7 linked regions of the Rattus norvegicus genome follow. The protein of the gene in region 4 interacts with the protein of the main gene of each other region in a pairwise test. Links are inferred from orthologs where the notes say so. Each region holds a gene or a part of one and is shown on either strand. Other genes may lie near its edges. The genes, in order: Spata2, Rnf135, Zfp414, Golga2, Morn3, Krt18 and Morf4l1.

Region 1 (3,346 bases), about 140 Mb from region 4:
TGCCTGCCTTTGGGAAAACTCTACTTATACATAGATCCCAAACACTGGACAGCACAACTGCCTATGGCTAAAGTGTGTTAGCACTTCACAAGGAAGTGACAGCCTCAAATCCCTGCCCTGCCCCTCTCCCTAAAAAGGAAAATCCAGAAGTGGGATTTATACCAGAAAGCGTGGATACTTGGCTGAGACTGGAGAGGCATCTATCTAATGAGCACACACCACCTCTGCCCACCCTAGTGCAAAAAGACAGAGAGCCGTGCTGACAGCCCTGGGAATCAGTGAGGAAGGCAAGATGAGGGGAAGGACCCCACCACCTGAACTTCCTTCTGAGATTCGAGGTTTAGGGTACAAGATTCATGCTCAGCAGGCACCAAGACCAGAGCTATGGATGTGAGGGCTGAGGTCCCCACCTTGTCCCTGAGGTCTTTGCAGACCCCGGCACCATGCTAACCCCATGTGCACACTGGAGGTAGGTGTATAATACTTACTGTAGGGAAGACAGTAGCTCTCTACCACCATGGGAAGAAACATGGGCTTTATCAGTCCCTACCCCGAGCTCCCACCGGGAAAGGGCACGCAGCCCCCCTTGGAAGACTAAAGAGCCCGGGGCACCTTTATAAATATCATGTCATTAATTTCTTTCACCATGTTGAAACACACAGCAAGTTGAACACTCATTTAAAAATAAACCTCAAATTCTGTATATACAATACAGTAAAGGGGTTATGCAAACAGAAGGGACGCCGTCCTGCCATGGAGTCCACTTTCCAACTGACAAGCAGAGCTTGCCAACACTGTGGGCTGACTGAGTGGAGCTGGCAAGATGGATTCAACTAACACTGGACTTGGCTCCCCTTTAATACCAGTTGGAGGGAGACAAAGGGTGGGGACATCTGCCTAGGGATCCTTGTATCAAGGGAGCAGAAAGAGAGGCGAGCCATCAGAGGCCGGGTGTGGCAGGAGGGCTCATTTCACAAGCCAGCAGGCCTCTAGCTCACCACTCCTGATGAGGATTTGAAAGTGACCCCAAAGGCTCCTTCCCAGTCCAAGCTGGCTTTGCAGTGGGGGGCAGGTGTAGCAAGAGTCCCGAGACAGAGACCTTATTTCAAGGGAACCAGAACCAGAACCCAAACCCAAACCGGCTGAGCAGGGAGTGGAGAGGTCAGCAAAGTGACTGGAAGTGCCATCCTGTCCTTCAGATCACACAGCAGCTGCCGGCTGGGATGTGGTGTGCCAAGTGAGCTGTGTGACAGAGCAGTTAGCCCTGGCGCTTCCATGGTCAAGCTCAAGTCTCTGTTCCCTTCCAGCACAGCTCTGCTGCCAAGCCAGGTCAGTGGTGTATAGCCCTTGTAGCAGAAGATGGGGGGCGGGGCCTATCTGTACACGGGATGGGAGAACTGGGTGGATTTGTAATTCAGCTGATTGTTGGGCATGAATTTGTGCAGCTCACTCTTTCTGCAGCAGGGGTCGTAGTGGTAGGCGCCGAGGCAGGGGTCACAGGAAACTTTTGAACACTGGGTGCAGGTGTTGGTGGCACCTGCACGGTTACAGAAGCCACAGCGGGAGGTGGCTGTGGTAGAGGGCTTGGGCTTTGAGTGGACAGTTGCCAGCCGGTCAAGGCCCTGAGTCTGTCCCACATATTTCTCCCGCATAGGTGCCCCATGGACCAGGCTGTCGTGTGCAGAGGCCTTGCTGGGAAAACCGCTGGGCTTGGAGGCCGAAGGACAGACACTGTCACAGCGCTGACAGAGGGAGGAGCTGCAGGACAGGCCGCAGTTTTGGCACTTGGAGAGGGCAGACTCTTTGGTGGGGGGTGAACGCTTGTGGTAGATGGAGTGGGCATCATTTTTGACCAGCCATATATCTGACCGCAGAGCATCTTGCCTCCGGTAGGTGGCCCTGGGTTCGGAATCCGTGTACAGGTCCACGTCATCCTGAGTGGGGAAGTACGTGCTACGAAGAAGGCCCAGGCCATTGATGGGGGAGATGGAGGGAAGGTCATCAGGGCTACCATGGGGGGAGCTGGACATGGTCAGCAATGAGGGGGATGGGCGGATGATCTCATCCTTCAAGTCTTCCCCTACATCCATAGCCAGGGGCTCCTTGCGCAGACTCAGTGAGGCCTTTGAGGGGGGCTTCCTGCTTTCCCAGTAGCTGTCGTAGGCATCCACCGACCTGGAGGGTTTGGTCACTCGGGGCTTGTAGTAGTCCTTGGCTGCGCGCTCACTGGCTGACTTCTGGAGTGCCACACGAGCCATGGAAGTGGTCAGGTGCTCTCGACTCTCAGCCCGCCTCCGCAGGGCATCTGAGCACCCACGTGCATCCTCTGTGCTGCTCTTGCGCTCAGTCACCACATCCAGCTCTGAATAGCCCTTGTCCTTTACCTGTGAGTGTATTCCCAGCATCTGCTCACACTCGACCTTGGCCAGGAAGAGCTCAAAGGAGACCATCTTCACCTGGAGGGACTCCACAAGCTCTTTGAGTTTGTATGCAGTCCCCAACTCAGGTTCGTAGCCCATGAACTTTAGAATGGCTCGGATGTCCTTCTCCAGCAACGTGGACTTGACATAGTAAACAAAAGGGCCCGTGTAGGTCTAGGGAGAAAGTGGGCAGGAAAAAAAAGAGGCATGCTATAGCGAGGCCTGTTCAAACCAAATGCAGAGCGGGACCAGCAGGGAGAGATGGGGGCTTCTGCCTGTAGACCACAGGCAAGAGCACACTAAATGCACACCACCAAGCCAGGAATACACGTGGCCCCTGTGAGGCCAAAGAGACCACCGAGTTTGTGTGTAGGTATGAAGGCTCTGTTCCACAGGAGGAAGTACAGGGATGGGATTGAGGGGGTGTGCTAAGCCTAATGGAAGATGTGCATTTTGAGCCTTCTGTCAAAGTTTCAAGAACACACCGAGGTAGGGACATGGCTCAGGGTAAAGCATGCACCACAGATTTAATCCTAGCACCACAGTAAACAAGTAAACGAATGGAACGTGCTAGGGTTCCAGCCTGGCTTATTGCAGTCTCTACTCACCCGTGCCCCTGCTATGGAAAGTGAGACTCTCTCACCCCCACCCCCAACACGCACACACACCCACCCCTTAACTGGGGCTTTGGTCCACACCAGCTCCCAGCTGCTTAGAGCCCATGCGCTGAGAACAGGGACACGTGCACTCAGGAGGGAGCAGCAGGCAGAGGCGGCCACCCCACCTCACCTTGATGCTGCGGAACTCCTTCTTCCAGGGGAACAGGAAGAGGTTGATGGCCATTGTCTCCAGCATGCTGAAGGCGCAGTGCAGAGCGCTCAGGCTGGAGCTACTCAGCGAGCGGAGGGAGCTCTCCACCACCTCAT
Region 2 (3,896 bases), on a different chromosome or scaffold from region 4:
CACTGAGCCATCTCTCCAGCGCTTCTCTCTCTCTCTCTCTCTCTCTCTCTCTCTCTCTCTCTCTCTCTCTCTCCCCCCCCCCTTATGCCTTTCCTAAGTTTGACTCTTTCCTGTCCCTTCTCATGAGAGTTGGGCATATCTTTTTTTAAAAGATTTATTCATTTGTTATATATAAGTACCCACCAGAAGAGAACATCAGATCCCATTACAGATGGTTGTGAGCCACCATGTGGTTGCTGGGATTTGAACTCAGGACCCCTGGAAGAGCAATTAGTGCTCTTAACCACTGAGCCATCTCTCCAGCCCAGAGTTGGGGATATCTTATTTTGTCTATGATTTATCACTTTGTCTGTCCCTCAGTTAGACATAATTTTCAAACATGGCTGCTTCCTTCTACAAACTAATTTTACCTTCATTGTTTGGGATGAAAGGTGTGTGCCAAGGGCATGTCTGTAATTCTCTCCAGAGTAGCCATGTTCCTGGATTAAAATTCCTCTACAGTTCCTGTCTTCAGTTTCACACTTCGAGGCATGCACTGTCCCCGGCCTCCTCATTTATTTTCCTGTATAGTGTTAGGATAAGACTCTAACTTCAAGCAAGGTATGATAGTGTTAGGGTCTGAATTGCTGACAAATATGCCCTAGATTCTAATAGTATGCAAAAGCAGAGTGTCTATTGAGTGAACTCCTGCATGCAGGGACCCAATTCCATTGGGATGGAAGGACCCTGACCGAATCTGCAGATTCAGTTTTAAAGCCAAAAAGAGGAACATTAGAGAGGGGTAGGTGATCTGTATCCTGATTGGTCGGTTCTATCGCTGGGGGGTCTGGGTGATGCTGTCATTGGTTAGGGTTTTGCTTCAAGCATACTTGACTGACTATTCTTTTTTTTTTTTTTTTATTAACTTGAGTATTTCTTATATACATTTGACTGACTATTCTTGCTTCATGCCATGGAGGGGTAGCTCTAGACCTCTTGGCCACAAGCTTGGCTAACTGTCCTTTTGTAAGCTGGGGAAGGGTTTCTTTTACATAAGTCTGTGGTGTTCCGGGAACTGACAGTTCTGGGAAGTGGAAACCCAGGCCTGGTCTCCTGAACTGCTAGTTTGCAGCCTGTCATGGAGTCAGCCTGGCTCAGGCGGATTCACCCCTTTCATTAGCACATCACGTTCCTTTAATCACAGCACTTTGAAGGCAGAGGCAGGTAAACCTCTGTGAGTCCCAGGCCCGTCTGGTCTACACAGTGAGTTCCAAGACAGTCAGGACATTGTAGAGAGACCCTCCCTGTTTCAAAAGCAAAACAAACCAACAGAAGAATCTAACTTTATTTGTTCATGCCATTTTCCTGATGGTGTTTGTTGAAAGGACTCCTTGCCCCTTGGAGTAGCATTTGCATTTTCTCCCCCAACCCTGCCCCCCAGGGCTGGGATGAAAGGCATCACTTTATCCAGCTATTTTTCCATTGGTCTACCTGTCTGCTTCCTTGGCATTTAAAGCTTCTTCTATTGGGGGAACTATATTCCTGGGTCCAATTTTTTTTGTGAACCAGAAGCCCAATTGTGCTCTTTTAAAGGTGACAGTACAGAAAAGCACTACACAAGTTGTCCAGGAGCTGACTGAGCTGGTGGGACAGCTTGTAGACATTGTCAAGAGCCTTCAAACGCAAAGACCTAGCTTGGCATCTGGACTGGACAATGCTCTAGGCATCCTGCACATGGTAGGTTCAGGAGGGGAGAAGGGGCTGGGGTGAAAGACAGCTTCCTGCTAGAGCTGTCCGGGAGAGACGACACGCAACAGGTCTCAGGCTTTACTACTTATTCTCTTTATTGCCAAATATGGGTGATTGGGAAAGTGGCAGGCTGGCTTTGAGTTAATGGAAGCTTTAAGTAGGCTGGGATCCATCCTTCCCACTCTACATGATTCACTCTCTAAATCCACCAACAATACCTAGGTAAATCCCACAGGTTTGAAAGTCCTCATCTTCAGTGTCCCTTAAAAATCTTTATTTATTTATTTATTTATTTATTTATTTTTGGTTCTTTTTTTCGGAGCTGGGGATCGAACCCAGGGCCTTGCGCTTCCTAGGCAAGCGCTCTACCACTGAGCTAAATCCCCAACCCCAAAAATCTTTTTAAAGATGTGTTTATCTTATTTTATGTTTTTGGGTGTTTCGTCTGCTTTTATGTGTGTGCACCGTGTGCATGCCCGATGTCTGAGTAGGGCAGAGGAAAGAGGACGATGGATCCCTTAGAATCAAAGCTATAGATGGGCGCGAGCCATCATGTGGGTACTGGGAATTGAACGCAGGTCGTGTGCAAGAACACTGACAAGCTAACAAGCTGACAAGCTAACTCTCCAGCCTCACTCAGTGACCTTGCAGAAAGTATTTTTATTATTGTGTGGAGGGGAGTTTGTGTGTGCCGGGGGGATTGTGTAGAGGGGAGGGTATGTGTGTTGAGAGGGTGTGTGTGCAGGGTCGGGTGTGTGGGGGTCAGAGCCCAGCTTTCCGGAGTCTGGGTTCCAGGAATCTAACTCGGGTCATCGGATTTGTGCAGCAAGCACCCCGCTTCCTTTTGAGATGGAGTTTTGTTGTTCACCAGGAACTCATGGTCCTCCTGTACCAGCCTCCTGAATCCTCCCGAGTTCCACTACGCTCAGTCCCCAGTTGCTTTATTTGCTTTTGTTTTATGTGGTAGGATCTCTAGCCCAGACTGGCCTTGAATTCAGTATATAATGAGAGCTGGCCATGAACTCCTGACCCTCCTTTCCTGTTTCTCTGTAGGTATGCAGTTTTTGCAACCTACTATTTATTTATTTATTTATTTATTTATTTATTTATTTATTTATTTATTGTATGCACGTGAGTACACTGTAGCTGACTTCAGACACATGAGAAGAGGGCATTGGATCCCACTGCAGATGGTTGTGAGCCACCATGTGGTTGCTGGGAATTGAACTCAGGCCCTCTGGAAGAGCAGTCAGTGCTCTTAACCACTGAGCCATCTCCAGCCCTTGGAAACAGTTCTTGGGAGAGCTTCTCTCAATGGCTGTGTATCACAAGTTGAGCTCAGCAGTGCTATGTAAGGCAAACATACAGTGCTTGTCTCCACTGTCTATGGGGCCACATTGATACTCCTTCGTCAAGCGTCCTTTCACCTGTGTCTGCTTCAGGACAACAGTCTCTCACATGTTTGCTTTAGCAAGACATCCTTCCACCTGTGAGCCCCAGCAAACAATCATTTGACATAAGTTTCCAAAGACCTAGAAGCTTCCACTTCGTTTCTCAACGTTTCCTTCTGGCTGTCTCCAATACAGCGCAGTTCCTCTGGGGAGTCTCCATCACTGTCTTGGTCTCATTCTTCCAAACACACAAGTCAAAAGCCTGGAAGTCATGACACTTCCTGTGCCTTAACCTGCCTAGCAGAGCACTGTAGCTCCAAGGCCAGCTGAAGATCTTCCAGCTCTACTCATGCCTGAGCTCCTCTGAGACTTCTCAAGTCCAGGCCGATGACAGTCTCTTGCCTGGGTTGTCATCGTAGCCCTACAGATGTTCCACTTTATCTTAGTTAGCTTTCTTCATCTAACTCATCCACCTGAAATACTCTGACGATGTCTGAATAACAGTGATAACCGGCTTCTGAAATGGAAAAAAGTTTATTTTAGGTCACTATGTATAGGAGTCCAGGGGCACTGGCAGGAATATGTGGTAGGGCAGAGCCTCACAACCCCAAGGCGGGGGAGAAAGGAATGGGACTGTGCTTCCAGCAACCCTGACAACCTTGCTCCACTCACCTGCTGAAGGCCTCACTGCCTCCCAGTCCCCTAAATCATCGCCCTCTGGGAGAGTAGCCTTCACCGATTTCCTTGAATGAATCAAACTCCCTGTCAGAGACTCTT
Region 3 (4,632 bases), on a different chromosome or scaffold from region 4:
GTAGAGTTGAGGAGGGGTCACCTGAGCCTGTGCCTCATCCCTTGCCTCTAGTCCTGTGCCTGAACATTCCTCAGCCTTACCCAACTGGGTGTTGGAACCAAGGAACCCAGGTTTCAGGCTGTGGGGTAGCCAGGGTGGTGGTCCTGCAGGTGCAGTATAATGGCAGACTGAGAGACTGTGAAGAAGTCACACTGTATACACGAATATCAGCCATCTATGTGTTCGCACACAATGTGGCTGGGGGCCATGTACCCTGCAGGCAGGCAGACAGGCAGGCAGGCAGGCAGGCAGGCAGGCAGGCAGGCAGGCAGGCAGGCCTCTGAGTCCTGGGTCTCCCTCCAGAGAGCCTTTCAACCATGGATGGTAGATGTCAACCAGGACAGATTAGACTTTTCCCTGGGCTTGACTACCCATCACAGCAGGTACCACATTTGCCTCCCATCCCTGGACCCACCATAGAAGAAAACCACTCAGAGACAGAACAAGACACAAATGTTTACACAGGAACACTGGCACAGATACCAGATGAAGGCATAGATACCAGTCATTTGAAAGGCAAAAATCATGTATTTTAAGGGACAGTCACCGCTGCTTTCCAGCATTCACAGGGCCCACTTAGGGCACAGGAATGAAGGGCCCCTCCACCCGTCCCTGGTGGTCACCTGCACGCACCTGAGGGCGCATCGGAGCCGCCCTGAGGTCTTCTAGGACTACTGGTAGCACCTGTAGGAAAGAAGCAGTTCAAGTTCAGAATAAAAGTAGGCTCAATCAGCTTTGTAGGCAACCTGCTCCTATACTCACCTTGACTCTTCTTCCAGATGGCAGTGCTGGATGTCGGTGGCCCTGGAGTGGCAGCCAGGAATGGGCGCAGTCTCGGGGGACTCAGGCCAAAGGGTGCAGGGTTCAAGTAAGGAAGGAAGGGCCCAGTGGGGGCAGAGGTGAAAGGCTCAAGTAGTGGGAATGGCAGGCCCAGGGAGGACGAAGGGTCGGACTCTGGGGGACGCTCAGGTACAGGTGGCTCTTTGTCCAGGGCAGGGGGTGGTGGCGGGGCTGGGTTCTGACCATGGTCTATACAAACATGCAGATGCTTGAAGAGCGAGCGATGAGTGCGGAAGCGCAGGAGGCAATTCTCACACCTGGAGGCAGGCACAGTACTTGACTGTCTCCTGGGCAACAGGAAGGGCCTATCCATTGCTACCCAGGGACCAGGATGTGGGAAGGGTATCTACATTAGAACCTCTGTGGTACTGTACCCAAAGTGAAGGAGCTTGGCCTCCATGCCCTCCTTCACTGTAGTCTTCTGGATCTTTCCAGCTCAGACTCTCAAGTTTTGATTTTACTTAGGTGACCAGTTTTCCATATAAGAAATGAGGTGGAACTGGACAGAACCACAGCATGTGTACTCTGCACCTCCACACTGAGCCTGTAGCCACAGTGACTTACTCCTAATTCACATCTGTTTTCCATGCACGGTTGGGGCTGGTTTCCCAGGCCATACTCATACTTCAACCCACCCTTCCTCCAGTTAGGAAGCCCTAAAGATTGGGAATCGACAGAGGGGATGGTCAGGGTCTCACTTGAAGTATCGATTGGGCTTGTAGTGCAGCTTGCCGTGGGCTACCAGCTCCTGCATGCTGGGGAAACTCTCAGTGCAGCTCAGGGCTGAGCATCGGAAGAGTTTGCCTGGTAGGGATAAAGTGCAGATGTGGAGTGGGGTGGTTAAGACTAACCCTGGGGAGCTCTGCCTATCTTCCACCCTAATCTGCTTCACTATCAGCAACCTTCCACTTACCTTCCAGTGACTGTGTGGGTGGACAGTGGGTACGGAGATGCTGTGCCAGATCTCGAACACTGGGGAAACTGAGGGAGCAGCCAGGGCTAGAGCAGGGTATTTGTTTCCCTGCAGGATAAATGGGTATCATTAATCTTTTCCTTACTGACCTCCCCTCATTCCCAAAGCCTTGAACACTCCCCACCCAGCTACTGTTAGAATAAACTTCCTGGAAGGGCTAGATTGGTTTAGTTCATCCCTGGAGCCATACCTGACATATTGACAAGATGCACAGTAAATGGTGAAGACCACCCCCCCAATGGGATATCCTGCACCATCTCAGTCCTATCAAAGGCATGGGACTCCCCAGAAACTCCACAGATAACCTGGTGGTGGACGTCGTCTAGGCAACCGAAGGTCCTCATTGGTCCCCACGCCTCTGGTGGTCGAGCTAGTCTGGCAGCTGTCTGGGACTGGACAGGCAACTTGCTGCAGAGGTCCTCCACGGTCCCATACTGGTGGCGTGGCTGTTGGGTTAGGGCCGGGCTCCTCCACGGAGGAAAGAGTGGCTGTAGCTGCCACATCCGGAGATGCCACCTCCTTGTCAGGCTCATTGGAGCTGGATTCTACAGTGGCCAGCGTGTCCGAGCTGGGTCCGGATAATTCCTCCTGGTGCAAGACGTGGTTAGAATCAGACTGGGATCCCTAGGACAGAGGGAAGCCCTTCTACTACAAAGGTCCACAAGACTCTAGGTTTCGAACTCCCTCCACTTTCACCAGATATTACCCCAGTCATTTCACTTTCTGAGTCATCAGCACGGTAAGGGAGGTAAGGGCAAACTGAGCTACTGTCTTCTAACTCCAATTGCAGAAGGAGTCATCAGGGATTATGCATAAAAGAACATCATCAACATCCCTTCCTTTTCAACTTTGGCAGGAGAGGCACGATGGAGCGGAGGCGTGGCCTAGAGGAGCAACCAGGAAATGCTGGAGGGCCAGGAGGGGATTGTGTGAAGGGGAATATAGGTCGAGCTAGAGCTGAGCAGGGAAGTTCAGGGCCAGAATGTGTTAAATTTAGGGGCTGAACTCTAGGAGAGTGGGCGTGGCCCAAGAGAAGCCAGGCCTAACTGAAGGGGCTGGACGCTCACTAAGTGACAGTCAGCGGCGGGCGGGGACCCGGATGTGGGGGCGGGGTCGCTGGAGGGAGGCGCGGCAGAACCGCTCCCTATCAGTCCCGCTGCTCTTCCGCGCCCGCGTCCGGGATGCTGCGCTCACCATCCTCTACTCAGTTAGACCTCTGGTTCCCGTGCCTTCGGTGGCTCTGGCTCCAGCAGGGGCGGCCTCCTTGGCGGCACAGGCTCACGCTCACGTCGGCGCCATTTTCCCGCTTCTCAGATCTCGCGAGATATGGGGTGTGGCCTAGTTCTGGGCGCCTCTCTAGGAGGCGGGGCCTGAGACTAGGCTGCTGTTCTTAGTCAGGTGAGTACATATAAATCCCACTACAGAATCAGAAAATAGGCTGGAGAGATGGCTCAGTAGTTAAGAACACTGACTGCTCTTCCAGAGGTTATGAGTTCAATTCTTAGCAACCACATGGTGGCTCACAGCCATCTGTAGGGGTATCCGATGCCTTCTTCTGCTGTCTGACATAAAATTTCAGAAAGAAACCAGCAATTTTTGTCTACCAGGTCAGGTTAACCTGGAACTCTCAGTCCGCCTTAGCTTGTAGAGTATGTGAACGAAAGACATGCTTTCGATTGGACTTTTTAGGGAAAACTGACAACAGCTTTCTCCCCTCCCCTTCTCCCTGTTTCAGCCCAGGCCCACCTTACACAGAAGTTGATCCTGAGCTTGGATGCCAATATACCAGGTTTTAGGCAGTACTAGGTATCAAACCCAGAGTTTTCATATATGCTACGCAAACACTCTACAAAGCAAGCTACATCCTTAGCTATATACACATACATATACAAATGAATATGTATATGCACAGATGTGAGCAAGTAAGTGTGGAGGCCCAAAGTAGACATTGTCTTCCTCTACTGCTCTCCACTTTGTTTATTGAGGCAACATCTCTCACTGAAGTTGGAGCTCACCAGTTCCCACTGATCTAGCTAGCTTACTTGCCAGAAGATTCCCGTGTCCACCTCTGAAGTGTCTCAGTTACAGGTTGTTGCCATGCCTCACAGGGAGTGCTGGGGATCCAGACTTCCTCATTTACCCAAGTGTTTACACTCATTTACATGTGGGTCTGAGCCCTGGTCCCTATGTCCGCACAGAACCTTCTTCCTAGCAAGCACCATATTTTCCAGCATATCTAATCTACAGTAAGAACAAATCTGTTACAGTAGCTCGATGTGGGAAACACGCTTGGTAACTGTGGATCTTCAGGTTAGGTCAACAGGCAAATCCCACAGGTAGAGAGGTGTGACCATGAATCCCAAGTGCACTTTCCTTAAGTGCCAGGGGGGAACTTGGTACTGCTCATGGAAGACTGGAGTCAACCACTGAAAACAGAGAGACAGTAAATCAACAACAGCAGAAAATGATCTTGGATCTATCCCAGGAGATAAGAAAACAAACAAAATCTGTGAAATGATGAGTCGGGGACACCCGTTTGAGGGGGTGACTTGAATTATGCTTGGGGAAGCAGAGCACTCTGGGAAGCTGGCACATATCCTGAGCTGGCAAAGAACAAACTCCCTTTGGTGAGCAATGGTGACTCCTCTGCACTATTGAAACAGAATAAAGATGTGGTATGGAGGTCAGAAAGTGAATCTGGTTAAGTCCTGGAGACCTTGTGAGAAGTGGAAGAGAAAGAAACCATGGTTTCTGATGTAGTCATTGATGAATGTTTGTTT
Region 4 (3,896 bases):
AAGCTCAGGACTGGGAGGGCGCAGACTCAGGAGGGAGTCTGGAGTGCAGAGAGGAGAGCAACAGGAACCATGCTGCATGCTCTATGCTCTGGCTGCCTCCAGCTAAGACGGAAGCCCCTAGGTTTTCCATTCCCCCTTGGTCCCAGGGGCCCCCTAGTCCCTTTCTTCAGAGCCCAAAGGGGAAACTGGAGCCCAGGACTGGCAGCAAGAATCAGGGACCCCGCTGACTCTTACCAATTCCTCTATCGTGCTACTGAGTTGTTTGTTTGTTACATAGCTGGAGTCCAGGGCTACTGCTAGCTCTTGGTACCGGCTCTGAGGCGCATGCAGAGAGGAGGAGTTGAGGAAGGATGGGGGAAAGGGAGAAAGAGCATCATTAGGGGTGGGGGTGGTGGGCTGTCTCAGCTGGCAGCGGGCACCCAGGTCCCTGTAGGAGGAGATAGGTGGTTGGCGTAAAGGGTTGCTCGGCCATGATTCAAGGCCACTTACCTCCAGTTCCTTCATGTTGGAAGACGTGAGGCCCTCCCCGTTGATGTAGGATGTAGACTAGGAGAGACAATACCTCTCATGGAGATGCTCTGTGACCCTCACTGTCTAATCCCTGCAGCCTCCTATTCCCCCTCAACTAGCAGAGTCTGCTTTCCTGTTCACTCACACCCTCTTGTGCCACTCCTCATGGCCCCTAAACCCCCATGGCTCAACCCCGCTGCTCAACAGCTGTCACCTCGAACTTTCCACACCAGGATAAACAGGATAAAATCACATTGCCCATCGAGGTCCAAATCCAGGTCTTCTCCAAGCATGACAAGAGCCGCTCGGGAATCCCTGCCTCGTTTTCTACTGTGCCTTCCTTTCCTCTCTACCTTCTCTCTGGACCCCAGTCCTGTGGTACCTCAGACACAAGGCCATTGAGCTGTTGAGAAAGTTGTCGCAGACTCTCAGTCGATGAGAAAGTCCTAAGGGAGGAGACATAAGATCAGGGGTGCAGGTAGTTTGATGGAAACAGGGCTCATGGGCAGAGGCCTGCCCTGACTCCCTCAGTAGGGAACACTTACTTGGTCTCCTCCATGAGGTTAGAGCAATTGCCAGCATCGTGGCTCTGTGTGGGTAGAAAGAAACAAGGTAACATTATTCAGCTTCTGCTTACTGTCACACAGGGACACCATGAGCCAAATTCATCTCAACACCCATCTTCCCAAGCCTTCCCCAGCTTGGCCTCCCCATGCCAGGCTCCCGGAGCAGCACCTGGACCAAGCTATCTGAAGAGAGAAAGAGTTCAAAGAACTTTGGGAGTCCTTCAGGAAGCAGACAGGAGAGTGTCAGGCAAAGTGAAGAAAAGACAAACCTGAATGAGATCAGCATCGGGGGAAGGGACGACACCAAGAAACATAGTGGCAGCAGCAGTACTTGGTGGTGCAGGAGCAGTGTGGTCTGTGGGCACCTGTCATAGAACAGAGCAGGATGGTTAGAAGACCATGCAGGAGAGAAGGGCCTCAATGCCACGGACACGAGGTGATGGGGCAAGCAGGGTAGCACAGCGGCAGGCACAGGACAGTTGCACATGCTGGGAGCTACTGGGGTACAGACAAGACATGCCCAGGTCTCAGGCTACTTAGTAGCATTCTGAAGGGCCAGAGCTCAAAGCAGGGGCTGCAGGGGCTCCTTCCTGAATACACAAGGACCTAGTTCCCTATGGAGCTCTGACCTGTGGCAGCCACAGCAGGTAGACAAAGTGCCAAGTGCAGGAGGCAGAGAGCTAACGGCCCCTGACTATAGGTCTTGCTCCTGGGATGGACTCATCATCAGGGTCAACATAACCATTCTCCCTCTCCTCTTGCTTTCCTGCCTTCCCTCCTCCCAGACCCATGCACTGGCTGTGTTTGTCGATTCAGAAACAACTGAGTAAAGTAGAGAACAATGGCTGCCCTTTGGCTTGAAGTATCTAGAAGATCATGTAAGCTTCCTAGGAAAAGCAGCCAGGGACCAATCCTAGGATTTCCTATATGGCAGCTTGTAGAAGTCTCCCCACTTCCCTGGCAGGAACTATCTGCTTGACCAGCTGTACCCAGCTCCTCCTCAGGCTCAGGCCTCACTTGTTTGTTTTATTTTCTGAGACAGGGGCTCACTATGTAGCCCTTGCTGTCCTGGAACTCACCCTGTAGACCAGGAAGGCCTTGCACTCACAGAGCTGTGCCTGCCTTTGCCTCCCAGGTGCTAGATTAAAGGTGTGCGCACACCCCTAGGCCTGGTAGTTCAGGCCTCACTCTTAGACTATGTCTCTGGCTTAGAGGTCTTCTCAGGTCCAACAATCCAAATAGGCAAAGGATGGGAAGACAAAAGGAGAGGGACAAAAATTCCAGGCCTATCCAGCAAGGCTGCTCTGGGAGGAAGTGGCCATTCCTTTCTCCAAAGAAATGGCTGCTTGCTTTCTGAAGCCTTCAGTCTCAGCCTCTGGAGATGCTAACCAAATTTCCTCCTTTGAGTAAGTGAGAAAGGACGTCTGAGAACTCAAGTGTGAACTTCATTCTCTTCAGGTTTACTGTGACTAACGTCCCTGTAACACATGTGACTGTCAGTTCTGAATCACACTTAGGTGTTGCCTTGACAATGTCTACAGTTGAGTCTAACAGGTAAGACCAGGGACTCAGTGGCAGCTGGCCACACCTGAGATAGTCTGGAGGTGTGACATTCCCAGCAACAGACCCTTCTAGGCTTTGGGTCCCTTGTAGCATCTTAGTAACACACATCTCTAAGCCTGGCAACATTCACAGAGGCACAAAATAGATAAAAATATTTGTCTGAGTACCTTTTGGTTTTTGTCTTAGGTTTTGAAACAGGGTCTCTCTGAAGTTCATGCTTGCCTCAAACTTGCTATAGAGCCCAGGCTGACCTCAAACTAGAGACCTCCTTTCTGCCTCTGCCTCCCAAAAGCAGGGATTATAAAGATGGGACACCACGCACTGTTGGGAGACTTTCAATTGCTTTGTGAGGAACCATGTAACTCCCCAATTTTAAGTCTTAGAGCTAAGCATGGAGTGCTTACAAAGTTTTCACTCTCCTCAAAATACCCCATCCCATCAGAAACTATTTTTATTTTTCCATAACTTCCTGTTTTATTTCTACTCAGAAGATGCCAATTTCCTTTATCCCTGGAGTAGAAAGTCAGTTATGGTTCAAGAAAGTTTTCATAAACACATGAAAAGTCTTCACTTCCTGAACAGAGGGGCTAGGTGCTCTGGTCAGTATTTCCCAAAGGGGAAACTGAAGCCCCAGCTCTGTGTGACTGACTCCTTAGCACAACAAATGCCAACTCTGTGCCCCCAACTCCCACACGCACAATGTGCCACGTCTGAGCTGAGCACGGAGGCACAGCACCTGAGCCGACCACACCTGGCAGGATCAGCTCTGTTGGCTGAAAACAGCCCAATGCCAGCCTGCGAGTCCTCACCCCGCCCATCCTCAGCCCCACAGGATGTGGCCTTGGCTCAGGCCACCCCTTCAGTTGGACAGAAGCCTGCTCCTTTTGTTTGGTGGATGTCCCCTAACATGTTAACTGAAGAACTAGGTTATATCCAGGAAGCCAGCTCTAAGCCCTGTGAACACAGGTCCTGTCACACGTGGATGCTGAGTCTCTGAAAAGTGCCCTTCCGCCTGTCAGCTCTCTGCTCCTCAGCTCTCCGTGTGTATGATCATGACCCATCTTTCATTGTCAAAGTAGCTGCAAACGCCCCTTCTCCAGCCTTGAGTCCACTGGGAACCAACTTTCCTGTGGCTACATTAGACATCCTGGAGGCCGCGTAACTCTTGTCCTGTGCATTTAGTCTGGTATTGGTATTGGTTCCGGACGGGCTCTCACTGTGTAGGATGGGCTTCCCATCCTCGTCTCAGTGTCCGCA
Region 5 (3,896 bases), on a different chromosome or scaffold from region 4:
GGTTCTCTCCTCCTACCTTGTGGGACCCAGGATCAAACTCAAGTGGTCAGATCTGTTTGGAAGCCCAACTCACCATTGAGTGAGTTACCCGCCGAACCGACTCAAAGGCCCTCACACTAAAAACTACTAAACTAAACTAGACATTTGCCCGGCGTCCCAGAGCTAGCCCCAGCTCCCACCAGGATCTGAATTCCTGCAGGCTCGCCCAAAGTCCAGACCATGAGAAGCTCCTGGAACATTTGCTCTGCTTAGCAAGAGCTCTCTAAATCCAGTTTATGCTCAGTGGAGGCTCACTGAAGGCAGGCTCCTTGCAGAGGATAGGGACTTCAAGACAGACATACAGACTTGACCGCCTCTGCCCTCCCAGCTGATCCATGACCTCAGCTCAGTTGGACCTCATTGAAAAATCGGAATCTCACTTTTTCAGGGCCAACAAGACAGGTATTATGGGACAGGTATTATGGCTGGTGGGGCAGCGAGTGTGGGAGGAGATCTTTCCGGGATGGGGCGGGGCCAGGAAGCCTTGGGGCGTGGTTTCATGGGGCGGGGCACTCACTCAGCCGCAACATGCCCTCCCCATCAGGCTTGTCGTTCTTCCATTGGCCTTCGTAGATGTCTCCGTTGTTGTAGTACATGCGTCCCCACCCGCTGCGCTGGTTGCTACACCACTCACCCTCGTAATACTCCTTGGGTCCGAAAAACTGGATCCCATAGCCCTGAAAGCAGGAAGGTGTCCCACTATTTGCCAATTCTCACTCCTGAGTCTCCTCCTGCTCTCCTAGCAGAGGTCAAAGAATTCTAGCTGCATATTTCAGTTCATTTCTGCACCGCCTGAATACCGCCCGCATAATTTCTCTTTTCTGGTCCTCTTATCTCTGACCCCACTTCCACACACCCTCTATACAGCCATCAGAAGGATATTTTATACCCCGTAGGATCAGCCACCCAACTCTGATTACAGCCAGTCTCTACTCACCTGTCTCCTTAGAAACATAAATGTTACATTTGGAGACTAACAGCAGGAAGCTATTGGAGATCGTGCTCAAAGTGGCTTGGTTAAGTAGCATTAAGGTCTGCACTTCAAAATCCCAATGCCACTTTTTCACTACTCTCTTTCCCTCCCCCAGAGCAAGTAAGACCTGCTGATTGGTAACTTTATTTCTTCCTACCAATTCATGTCTACTGGGCTAGCTCCTGGCTGCTCTGATTTGACCTCCTGCGCTGTATTTTCTAGGTTAGATTACCTGATCTCCCAACCCCGGGAAACCACTGCTGACTTTCCATAAAGGCAAATAAATCATTTGTTTTAGGATCAGTCTTTCCGCCGGGAGCAAAGAACATGAAATCTTGGGCTCTGCAGCTGGTTAGCTGTGTCACCAACCCCAGGCTAGGTGCTTCACCTCCCTGAACTTGTTCCGTAGTAAAACGGAAGACCGATGTTGACAGAGCTGTTACAAGAACTCAAGTGTCATGTACAGTAAGAGCTCAACGGCAACATTTATAATTATCAGACTCCATGCTTACAGCAAGGATCAATACAAGTTGGTTGTTTTTTTTTTTTTTTTTTAATATGTCTGCAGTAGAATGAATGTTTGTGGAATTTCCTCTGGCTAGCTTCTCTCCCCACACCCCTTCTTCTTTTGTCCTTGTTTCCTGTTTTCAGTCAGGCTCTCTATGTAGCCCAGGCTGGCCTCAAACTCACTCTCCTGAAGGTGGAGACCGTCAGGTTGTTGAGATCACAGCTCTGCACCTCCATGCCCTGCGTCCTAGCCTCCCATCTGACTCAGGCTAGCAGGAGGAAGAGGATTCTCAGAATGGGGTACCAGGAGAAGAAAGCCAGGAAACGGGGGAAGAGGGTGGAGGAGACCTTGTCTGCTGCCTCCCTGCAGCCATAGAGTTTTTAAAGGGTTCCTCATTGGGGCCCCCACTTCTCTTGCTTCCTGTTTTCTTGGTTTTGAAAAGTGCTACAGTTCCTCTACCCCTTCCTTCTCCCACCCAGCAAACCACCTCCCACCTTTGCCCTCTGAGCGGGCACTCTCTCTCACGCACTTGCTTTCTTTTTCTCCTACACACACACACCACACATACACAAATACTACACATACACACACACACACACCACACACACACACACACCACACACACACACACAGGCCCCCCCACAACACACACACACACACACAGGCCCCCCCACACCACACACATACACACACACCACACACACACAGGCCCCCACCACCACACACACATACACACACACCACACACACACACACACCAGATACACACACATACACACACACCACACATACACACACACCAGATACACACACACCACACACACACACACACACACACACTGAGCTCTCTCTCTCTCTCTCTCTCTCACACACACACACACACACACCACACACACACACACACACACACACACACAAACACAGACAGGGCCCACACACACACACATACACACACACACACTGAGTGCTCTCTCTCTCTCTCTCTCTCTCTCACACACACACACACACACACACACACACACAAACACAGACAGGGCCCACACACACACATACACACACACACACACACACACACACACTGAGTGCTCTCTCTCTCTCACACACACACACACACACACACACACACAGCCTGGCTCTTACCCTTACCTACAGACAGGCAAGGCATGCTGGGAACCACTCACCGATTTCTTGTCACCTTTCCACCAGCCTGAATACACCCTCTTGAGCTTTCCAGTTTCTGGGTCAGGATGACTGAGGATGCCATAGCCATCTCGCTTCCCAAACTTCCAGTCCCCTTCATACATAGCACCACTCTGCTTCCAGACCTGTGTTCCTTTCCCTGGGGACACATGGATGGGCCAACATTGCAGGTGGCTGCCACCCTGAAGCTGGAAGCCACATGCCAGGACCCTGGGGTCCTCTGCCCTGAACAGTTTCTTCAGAACTGGAATAGGGTCTGTGCCTCATCTCTAGACTATAAGCACACAGAAGAAAGGGATGCTCCATGTCTAAAGACAGTGATTTCCCTGCCCATTGTTTAACAGCCAGACCCATATGGCAAACCTTAATGAGAGGTGAGGCTGAGGCAGGAGGATGGTGAGTTCCAGTCCAGCCTGGGCAATATCTAGAGACTCTGTCCCCAAAAGAAAGTAAAAAGGGGGGCAGGAAATGGTGTGAGGACCTAGATTCAATTTCCAACAGTGAAAGAAAAAAGAAATCCTGCCCTTTACAATGTAGATGAACAGGAAGGATATTAAGATGAACAAGAGGGCTGGAGAGGTGGCTCAGTGGTAAAGAGCAGCAACTGCTCTTCCAGAGGTCCTGAGTTCAATTCCCAGCAACCACATGGTGGCTCACAACCATCTATAAAGGAATCATATAATGGGATATATATATATATATATAGGAATGAAACAGCCATGCAGTGGTGGCACATGCCTTTAATCCCAGCACTCGGGAGGCAGAGGCAGGTGGGTCTCTGAGTTCAAGGCTAGCCAGCCCCTGGTCTACAGAATGAGTTCCAGGAAGCCTAGGCTATACAAATTGTCTCAAAAGACCTAAAATAAAATAAAAAATAAAAATAAACCAGACTCAGAAAGACCAGTGCCAGGTGATGTTACTTTTATGTGGGGAAGTCAATCTCATAGAAATAGAGGATAACATGGTGAATGCCAGAAGCCAGCAGGAGAGAGGGAGAGAGATGTGAGTCTAAGGTTATTGTAGCATAAGGTTTTGGGGACCGATGTACAGCATTGAAATTATTGAAGTAAGTCGGGGCTGGAGAGATGGCTCATGGGAAAACAGTGCTAGCCTTGCAAGCTGATACTTGACTTTGCTCTCTGGAAGCCACAGTGGGAGGAAAGGACTGACTTCTGGA
Region 6 (4,396 bases), on a different chromosome or scaffold from region 4:
CAGTGTGGGAGTAATAGGAAAATCAAATCGAAGTGACTCATCTTAGGGAATCTCTTGATTGGGTTAGGGGTGTGGAGGAGGCTTAGAGATGAGACAGTTGGGGCTGAGGCCAAGTATCATAGGTTTGGGCCCAGCAGAACTGCAGCAGGCAACTGGAGGGCACTCACCTGGTTTTTCATCGAGTCCAGGTCAATCTCCAAGGTCTGGAGGGTGCGTCTCAGCTCCAAGAGTGTGGTCTCAGCGTCCCTGATTTCGGCAGACTTGGTGGTGACTACCGTGGTACTCTCTTCAATCTGAAGGATGAGGAGGGTCAGTCAGGACCTGCCGTCCTTGGCACCTCCCTCTCACACAGGGGCAGACAGCCTTCCTAGTTTGTACCTGCTGAGACCAGTACTTGTCCAGTTCCTCACGGTTCTTCTGAGCCAGCTGTTCATACTGGGCACGGATGTCCGCCATGATCTTGCTGAGGTCCTGAGATTTGGGAGCATCCACTTCCACAGTCAACCCAGAACTGGCAATCTGAGCTTCCAGGCCTTGGACTTCCTAAAGAAGGCAGACACAAGGTGGGATGGGCACTTAAGGTCAGCCTTTCATTATTGATGGTGTTTTCTAGAAGGTGATGTTGAGTGCGGAGGCAGAAGAGAACAGGAAAGAAACTCTTGGCGGGCCTAGATCTGGGCTTCTGCTCCAGCTAGGCAAGAATGCAGCCTTAACCAGCCCCTTACAGGCGATCTCCTCTCCTCATTTTAGCTGCTTCTTCCTTTCACATGTCTTACCTTAAGCTTCTTCCAGAAGGCCCGCAGCTCCGCCATCAACGCCAGTTCCTGAGGCTGGCAGTCCCCACCTTTGTCTCCAATTCAGGGTCTTACTCACACAATCTCTGTTTTACTCTATCTAGTAAGACAGGCTGTGTGTTGAACTTAATTCTCCTGCCTCAGCTTTCCAAGCGGTAGGGCTTCACAAGCCAGGCCCTAACCTACCCTGACCTAACAGCACAACTTGGGTGAGCCATAGAACATATATGAGCCAATGGCTCTGCTCTGAATCAAAACCGCCTAGGCTGCTGTTTCCGTGTAAGGCTGCTTTGGGGGCAGCGTGGGCCACGTAGCCTTCGCCCTTAACTCCCAGGCCTGGTCGGTGGCCCCCCACTTACCTCCTCATGATTCTTCTTCATGAACAGCAGCTCCTCCTTGAGCGCTTCGATTTCTGTCTCCAGCTGCAACCTCGTGATGTTGGTGTCATCCACCACCTTGCGGAGTCCATGAATGTCACTCTCCACAGACTGGCGCATGGCCAGTTCCGTCTCATACCTGAGGGGGTGGAGGTGATCAGCGGGCCCCACCTGGTCTAGAACCTTCTCAACCAGTGCCACCTTCATAGAGTAGCCTCGTGCCCACCATAAACCGGTCATGGAGTCAGGTATCATTCCCTCAGCTCTACTCTTGGCTGTGGACTGTGTGCTTAAACTGGGGTGCCCAGGTGAATAGCTAACTCAGTAGTAGTCAATGGACCCTAACCCGGATAAGCCTCCGAAAGGAAGGAACCCCACTCTAACACAGTTCCAGGAGTAGGCCATTCTTAGCCCCAGCCCCAGCCCCAGCCCCAGCCCCAGCCCCAGCCTTACTTGACTCTAAAGTCATCAGCGGCAAGACGGGCATTGTCGATCTGCAGGACGATGCGGGCATTGTCCACAGAATTCGCAAAGATCTGGGTGGATTACAGTGGAGAGAGTCGCTCTGGGAGTTCCGGGTCAAATGAGGGTGTGTGTGTGTAGGAGCGGAGGGTGGGAAAACAGGTCTTATGTTTCAGATGAATCTATCCCACTCCCAGGAACAGCCAGAGGGCCAGTGCTTCTATCTTCCCTCTCCCTTCCTGAACTCCTTGCCCCTCTGCCTGGAGCCTGTACTATCTGGATTGCTTACAAAAGAGCAGCTTCCAACAAGACTTCTCTGATCTTCTTTTCCTGGCATCTTCTCCAGGTGCACCTGCTAAACCCCTGTCCTGGGACGCCCCCCCTACCGCCCCGCTGGCCCCTCCTACAGGTAGGCTCCTGTTTACTCCTAGATGACTCAGCCTTAGCTACATCCGCTTAACCCTCTAACTGTCCCCACTGAAAAAGAAGTGAGTGTCTGGGTTCGTTTTATGACCTTTTTTTTTTTTTTGCGATGCTTTTGATCCTGTTCCCTTCCCACTACACTGCTTTGGGGAAGCCGGCTCCCTTGTGGAGCCACTACGCTTGGAATTCCCACAGGTTGTGGGTGGGGAATCCAGAGTATTCCTAACTCGGTCCCATGTAGTAGGGGTGTGTGGTGAATGGGGAATGAGTGGAGGGAGTCAATCGCCCACACCCTATTCAAGTTTGGGGGTGTGGGAGCATTGGACGGACAGAACAATCGGGAGCTACTGCTCCCTTCCCCCTTCAGGCCCCTTACCTGAGCCCTCAGATCTTCGATGGTCTTGAAGTAGTGGCCCCAGTCTCTGACGCCCTGGGGACCCCTTTTCTCCAGATATTCCCGGATTTTGCTCTCTAGTCTCCTGTTCTCGGTTTCCAGGTTCTTCACCTTGTCTAGGTAGCTGGCCAGGCGGTCGTTCAGGTCTTGCATGGTCTCCTTCTCAGTCTGGACCCCACCCATTCCCGCCAGGCCTGCGGACCCCACGGAGCCACCCCAGACAGAGCGGGACACGGATATCCGGGACCCTGAGCCCCCAGCACCTGCATAGACGCTGGCTGCGCTGCTGGCAGGCCGGACCCGCTGGCTGGGAGTCCGCACAGAGCCCAGGGACCGGTAGTTGGTGGAGAAGGTGGTGGAGCGGGTGGTGAAGCTCATCTTGTCTGGAGAGGAGAACGAAGCGAGAGACCAGGATTGGAGTTCCGCTGCGGTGGGTGGCAGTCCTCGACCTGTTGTTATATCGGCAAGGGAGGAGGTGGGACCTCCCCAACAGGCCCCGCCCCCGCCACCGGAGCCGCGGGCGCCAAGAACGGGATTCCTGTGACCTACCGGGTCGCAGCCCTTCTTGGCTTCTGCACATACCTGCCACCGTCACCGACACAGGGAGGGGGTGACTAATGGGTGCACAAAGGATAGCAGGTAGTGTTAGCCCTTGAGTGTCTGTTTTCAGGGCAGGAAATGGCGTTTTTTAATATCTTTTTTACATAGATAGAAGAGGGATCCATTAGGGTGAAGATTTTGTGGTGTGTTCCTTGCTTAAGTCTGGGGGCAATCGTGGAACCCCAGGAATTCTGGGGAAAGAAAATTGGGAGCTCAAGAAGAGGAAGAGAAACACGAACCTGAGCGCAGGTCTCTTGGTCCTCCCCCCAACCACCTCGCTCCAGTCCCAAGACACTGCTGTGGCTCCATAGGGAACCATGGAAATACATATTTTCAAACGCGTGGGGACACAGGTCCTCACTCAACTCACTCCCAGGAGGCTTTAGCGGGACCTTTGTGATTATGCAGAAGAGGCATCCCATATCCGGACACCTACCATTTTCTTTCTTCCCTCACCCTTCTCTTTTTGAGACAGGGTCTCAAGTAGCTCAGGCTGGCCTTGAACTTTCCATGTGGCAGAGGATGGGGATCAACTCCTGGTCATTCCGTCCCACTTTTGAAGTGCTGGGGTCCCAGGCATGAGACATCCATCACTTTCAGCCTACAGGGTGCTGAAGATCAAACCCAAGGCCTCATAGCTGAGAACTTGGTCAGCCCAAGAGCACATAGATTTAACCAGTATTTGCTAGATACCTTCTAGTAGCCATGAGAACAGCAAGGGTGAGAAATCACTGTCCCTCCTATCCATTGTGTCTGGACAGGTTGGGGTCTGAGTCGCTAGACCAGATATCAGAAACGCCCTACTAAGTTTGAACCATATTGCCTGCCCCTCCATCCGGATTTCTGTTGCTCCCTTGAATCTGCCTCCTTTTTCTGCTCCCTGAGTCTTCTTTCCTTCCTGGCCAGTTTTTATAATGCTCTCTGTCTTTCTGGCTTATCCCCTGGGGAAAAGAGACACCCCACTCCCCCCGCCCCCCCCAGCTGGACGACCACTCCTGCTGAATGAAGAGGGAGAAACCCCCCCGAGGTTGGAGTTGGTCAGCAGGAGGAGCCCGTTTTTCAGGCAGGACTCAGTGTTTGTGATACCTGTGGCCATGCTCTTTGCTCTGGATTGGACTTATTGATCCTTATCGAGCGGCCAGCTGAAACGACTCTGTGTACATGCACATAGAAGAGTAAAACCAGGAGAGAAAAGGGGCCTTAGGAAGAGCCCAGGTCAGTAGATCAGGCAAGAGAGGAAGACGGGGCTGATGCGTGCTGGGTGTGAATGAATGGTTTGAAGCCTGCTTCCTTCCGGACGGACGGGAAAACCTCAGAGACTCCGTGGGACTTGGCTGGGGAGGTTG
Region 7 (3,896 bases), on a different chromosome or scaffold from region 4:
GGGTGGGTGTTTCAGTGGTGTACCTACTTTTGAATTGGGCACAATTCTCTAAGCAACCCACCATCCATCTGTAAACCCCAAAGCCTCACCTGTTTGCCGGCTGTTCTGCTATTGGCATATATTCTATCTATCTAAGGACAAGATCAGTTTGTCTCCACCTCTCCCACAGGGAATTTTTTTTTTCACATTCTGCAAATGATTAATTAAACCTAGGACCTTAATTGCATTCAGGATCAATTGTAGGCAATGACTGCCATGTTTTCTACTACACTCCATTATGAGGACATGTGTAAATGTTCTAATGGTGACCACATTAAGACTGAAGATGCACGTATCTCCTTTGTCTACTGGCGTTTTTGGGAGAGTTCTGCTCCAGCAAACTTCTAACTTTTTTAATCATCAACAAAATTTTAAGGGATCGGAGAGATGGCTCAGTAATTAAGAGCATTAGAACCCAAGTTTCAATTCCCAGCGCCACTCTGTGTGCTGGATCACAGTCACCTACAACTCCAGCTCTAAGAGACCCAATGCCCTCCACAGGCACTGCACATAGGTCATGCCATGCAGGCAAAAACTAAACACCTGTAAAACAAGATTATAACAGTTCATCATAAGACTCTGAGCGCTCCCTGTGTCATTCTCAAGGTACCTGCTTTTGTCTGGTGATCAAGTCCCAGTCATCTACAAGCCATGGTTTCAGCTCCTCAGGAATCTTCACTTTAACTTCAACTCTGTTCATGAATGTTTCTTCCTAAAGAAGAAAGGCAAAGAAAGGTATTGCAAACTTTTTTTTGCTTCTCTTTTGATCTTTAAGATATCAGGTATACACTAATTCCTTGAAGGAACCACTCAAAAGAAGGAATTGCCATACAGGGTGGGGCTCTGTAGGCGAACAGATACATGAAATCATATAGCCAGGAAAAAAATTATGGTCTTGAGTTATTAGGACTCCTTTCCCTCTTTTGGAAATGGAATATTCTTAATACAGCTTAACAGCTTCTTCACATTTACTCTTGATATCCAAATGCTTATACCAAACATGACTTTCTCTCTTCTCCACCCCACCCCATTTAGACATGGTCCTATTATGTAGCTCTGACTGTCCTGGAACTCAATATGTAGACAAGGCTAGCCTCAAACTCACAAGATAGATCTGTCTGTCTCTGCCTCCTGAGTCCTAGAAGTAACAGCTTGCCCCACTAGGCACAGCTAACATGGCTTATCTTTATTTAAAGACACTTTTAATTTTTCAGTTACTAAACCAGAACCTGCCTTTGCACTTTGGTAGCGTGTGCCAGTAACCCCAGCATTTGGAAATCTGAGGCAGAGACTAGCCATTTACACAGCAAGATCCTGTCTCAAACATAAATATTGGAAGGGAAGAGAGTGCGGAAGTAGAGAAGGATCACCAGGGCCTTTAGGACAGCCTGCCAGAAGAAAAGACGAAAACTCACATTTTCAACGGTTGGATCTACCCGGGCTCGCTTCTTCCTAGGAGGCTGAGGGGTCTCACTGGTACTGCCACCATCTCCATTTCCAGGTGCTACAAAACGTTTAAGAATGGCGGGGCTGGTATTGGCTAACTAACAAATTCTTAATGTAAAGAGTGTCGTAAGTTCTCACTTCCCCATTACAGATATTTAATTAATCCAACTTATAGAATAGTTTTTCTTAAAAAAAAATAAAAATAAAAACTTATTTAACACTTTACTTAGGAAATATTTAATAACATATTTAAAAGGCTATCTCCCTAAGACTAAAGCACAGTGAAAACAACCACATCTTTTCAGGCAGTCAAGATAAAAACCACTCCGTCCTTATCTACAAACTCTGTGAGACCTCTACTTGAGGTCATTAAGCCACATACTGTCCCAGTGTCAGTTTCATAGAGTGAACTCACAACTGAAATATTAATAGGTCAATTTTAAAAACATTTATACTTACTTTTCTGTTTGTTCTTTTTTGTTTTCCTGGAAAGAGCAAAAAACAAAAATTACTCCCATAAAAATTGTTCCAATTCTTTGAATGGTAAATTCAGAGAAAAATGGCCCAGCAAAATTATCAGTGACTATATTTTAAGTCTGCTTCCCAAAACATTAATCTTGACTTTAGATATTATTATTATTATTATTATTATTATTATTATTATTATTATTATTATAGACAGTCTCACTATGCAGTTCTAGCATCCTGAAACTCACTATATAGACCAGGCTGGCCTTGAACTCAGATCCACCTGTCCCTGTGAGGACCTGCACACTTGTGAACACACAGCCCCATATACACATCAATTTAAAGGTTCAAAAAATAATTTTAACAACAAAAGGCTAGGTGTGGTGATGCACATCTTTAACCCCAAAATTGGAAAAGCAGAGGCAGGCAGATCTCTTGAGTATGAAGCTAGTCTTTAAATCAAGAACTTCTTCACTTGCATATACGTACATGCTAATGATTCATGGTAACCAAAAGGAATATTATACTTAATCCTTAATACACAAGCTCTGTACCATAATATGAGAATGACTACTCAACTAATCTAAAACCACTCATTCTAATGACTCCTAATAAGGATTCCTGAACAGTCTTGCTTCTATTATCTACATGCTACCTATTAAACATATATGCAAGCAGTTCAAGTATACAGTAGAATTCATATAATAATTGCTAATGTTCTGATTTCTAGTGCTAAAATTTATAAGTATATATGTACTCAAAAGATAAACTGTTAAAACCACATGCTAGGGGACTGGAGAGATGATTCAGTCATTAAGAACACTGGCTGCTTTTCCACACAGGACCTGGGCTGTAGACCCAGGAGCTCAGGGAACAAAGCCCAAGAGAGTGTGGAACAAATGTAAAAGCAGGAGGGAAAAAGTGCCATGAAATGCTGACTTCTGGACATGACAGTTGTACTAGAGTTACTTGTACAAGCCAACATTCCAGCAGGAACTGAAGAGCCCATGAGACCTGCCCTACAGTTGAGGAGCCACTGGCAGTTCATGGCTGCTGAGGAAGAGCGAGCCATTTCCCTTTAGGAGTATGGCCACTAGTAAGGCTGCCCAGGTTCCACCGAGTGGCCCTATAACCACGAACACAAAACTTATCCTTCAATAATAGTTGTGCCCTATGTTTTTGTATAACTAATATTTAAGATCATGTAGTTGGGGGTTGGAGAGATGACTCAGTGGTTAAGAGCTCCAACTGCTATTCCAGAGGTCCTGAGTTCAATTCCCAGCAACCACATGGTGGCTCACAACCATCTGTAATGGGATCTGATGCCCTCTTCTGGTGTGTCTGAAGACAGCAACAGTGTACTCACTCTACAGTGTACTCACACACGTAAAATAAATAAAAATCTTAAAAAAAAGATCATGTAGTTGGTCACCTTACTATACTCATTTTCAGTTACATAACCTTTAGAGATCAGTGTACACTGACTTTCACATTATGGTTACCAAGAAGCCTTACAATCCAGAGTTAACAAATTATACTTTTCTTTCTCACTCTCATTTTACCCATGTATTTTTAGCACTAAGAAAGTAATCCTTGCCAAAACAATTTACATTTCCTTAATAACCTGGTATCTGAGAATTAAGAATTTCACTGACACTTTTAAAAGCTTCCATTAGAAACAAAATATATATTATGATAAAAAGTAAATTTAAATTATACCCATAAAGCAGCATGCAATATTTAAGCAAAGAGTATCTTACACTTCAACATTTTTCTGTTGCAGACCGGATGTCTTCTTCCCTGGAGCAGCCCCTCTCATCTTGCCCTCTGCATATTGTTCCCTTCAAAAATAATGTCAGAAAGTCATTATACTTATCTAAGAAAAATTAAATCTGATTGATTTCACCTAGAATTTCTATTAAACTGAGCTTCCCAGCCAGGTA

The links.
Region 1: the proteins of Golga2 (region 4) and Spata2 interact in binary tests that used the Homo sapiens proteins (3 or more experiments, as listed by UniProt). The two-hybrid records come from large-scale screens. The link is inferred for Rattus norvegicus from reciprocal best matches to the Homo sapiens genes GOLGA2 and SPATA2.
Region 2: the proteins of Golga2 (region 4) and Rnf135 interact in binary tests that used the Homo sapiens proteins (3 or more experiments, as listed by UniProt). The two-hybrid records come from large-scale screens. The link is inferred for Rattus norvegicus from reciprocal best matches to the Homo sapiens genes GOLGA2 and RNF135.
Region 3: the proteins of Golga2 (region 4) and Zfp414 interact in binary tests that used the Homo sapiens proteins (3 or more experiments, as listed by UniProt). The two-hybrid records come from large-scale screens. The link is inferred for Rattus norvegicus from reciprocal best matches to the Homo sapiens genes GOLGA2 and ZNF414.
Region 5: the proteins of Golga2 (region 4) and Morn3 interact in binary tests that used the Homo sapiens proteins (3 or more experiments, as listed by UniProt). The two-hybrid records come from large-scale screens. The link is inferred for Rattus norvegicus from reciprocal best matches to the Homo sapiens genes GOLGA2 and MORN3.
Region 6: the proteins of Golga2 (region 4) and Krt18 interact in binary tests that used the Homo sapiens proteins (3 or more experiments, as listed by UniProt). The two-hybrid records come from large-scale screens. The link is inferred for Rattus norvegicus from reciprocal best matches to the Homo sapiens genes GOLGA2 and KRT18.
Region 7: the proteins of Golga2 (region 4) and Morf4l1 interact in binary tests that used the Homo sapiens proteins (3 or more experiments, as listed by UniProt). The two-hybrid records come from large-scale screens. The link is inferred for Rattus norvegicus from reciprocal best matches to the Homo sapiens genes GOLGA2 and MORF4L1.

What each region holds. Positions count from the first base shown.
Region 1 is NC_086021.1:176,622,774-176,626,119, forward strand, and holds the end of Spata2 (spermatogenesis-associated protein 2), read right to left. Parts: coding exon 3,210-3,346; intron 2,595-3,209; coding exon 1,374-2,594; 3' UTR 841-1,373; downstream 1-840.
Region 2 is NC_086028.1:65,671,169-65,675,064, forward strand, and holds part of Rnf135 (E3 ubiquitin-protein ligase RNF135), read left to right. Parts: exon of another isoform or gene 1-1,572; coding exon 1,573-1,716; exon of another isoform or gene 1,717-3,636; intron 3,637-3,896.
Region 3 is NC_086025.1:15,120,959-15,125,590, reverse strand, and holds Zfp414 (zinc finger protein 414), read right to left. Parts: upstream 3,172-4,632; 5' UTR 3,050-3,171; coding exon 3,047-3,049; intron 2,477-3,046; coding exon of another isoform or gene 2,441-2,476; coding exon 2,158-2,440; intron 1,901-2,157; coding exon 1,793-1,900; intron 1,684-1,792; coding exon 1,578-1,683; intron 1,167-1,577; coding exon of another isoform or gene 1,137-1,166; coding exon 802-1,136; coding exon of another isoform or gene 724-801; coding exon 659-723; 3' UTR 476-658; downstream 1-475. UniProt on the Homo sapiens protein: May be involved in transcriptional regulation.
Region 4 is NC_086021.1:35,987,951-35,991,846, reverse strand, and holds part of Golga2 (golgin subfamily A member 2), read right to left. Parts: intron 1,442-3,896; coding exon 1,346-1,441; intron 1,100-1,345; coding exon 1,056-1,099; intron 957-1,055; coding exon 893-956; intron 547-892; coding exon 490-546; intron 316-489; coding exon 235-315; intron 1-234. UniProt on the Homo sapiens protein: Peripheral membrane component of the cis-Golgi stack that acts as a membrane skeleton that maintains the structure of the Golgi apparatus, and as a vesicle thether that facilitates vesicle fusion to the Golgi membrane.
Region 5 is NC_086030.1:39,183,346-39,187,241, reverse strand, and holds part of Morn3 (MORN repeat-containing protein 3), read right to left. Parts: intron 2,859-3,896; coding exon 2,701-2,858; intron 717-2,700; coding exon 557-716; intron 1-556. UniProt on the Homo sapiens protein: Assembles a suppression complex (suppresome) by tethering SIRT1 and MDM2 to regulate composite modifications of p53/TP53.
Region 6 is NC_086025.1:135,034,640-135,039,035, reverse strand, and holds the start of Krt18 (keratin, type I cytoskeletal 18), read right to left. Parts: upstream 2,869-4,396; 5' UTR 2,829-2,868; coding exon 2,433-2,828; intron 1,708-2,432; coding exon 1,625-1,707; intron 1,311-1,624; coding exon 1,154-1,310; intron 544-1,153; coding exon 379-543; intron 294-378; coding exon 168-293; intron 1-167. UniProt on the Homo sapiens protein: Involved in the uptake of thrombin-antithrombin complexes by hepatic cells. When phosphorylated, plays a role in filament reorganization. Involved in the delivery of mutated CFTR to the plasma membrane.
Region 7 is NC_086026.1:99,526,972-99,530,867, forward strand, and holds part of Morf4l1 (mortality factor 4-like protein 1), read right to left. Parts: intron 3,795-3,896; coding exon 3,714-3,794; intron 1,971-3,713; coding exon 1,945-1,970; intron 1,544-1,944; coding exon 1,455-1,543; intron 752-1,454; coding exon 650-751; intron 1-649. UniProt on the Homo sapiens protein: Component of the NuA4 histone acetyltransferase (HAT) complex which is involved in transcriptional activation of select genes principally by acetylation of nucleosomal histones H4 and H2A.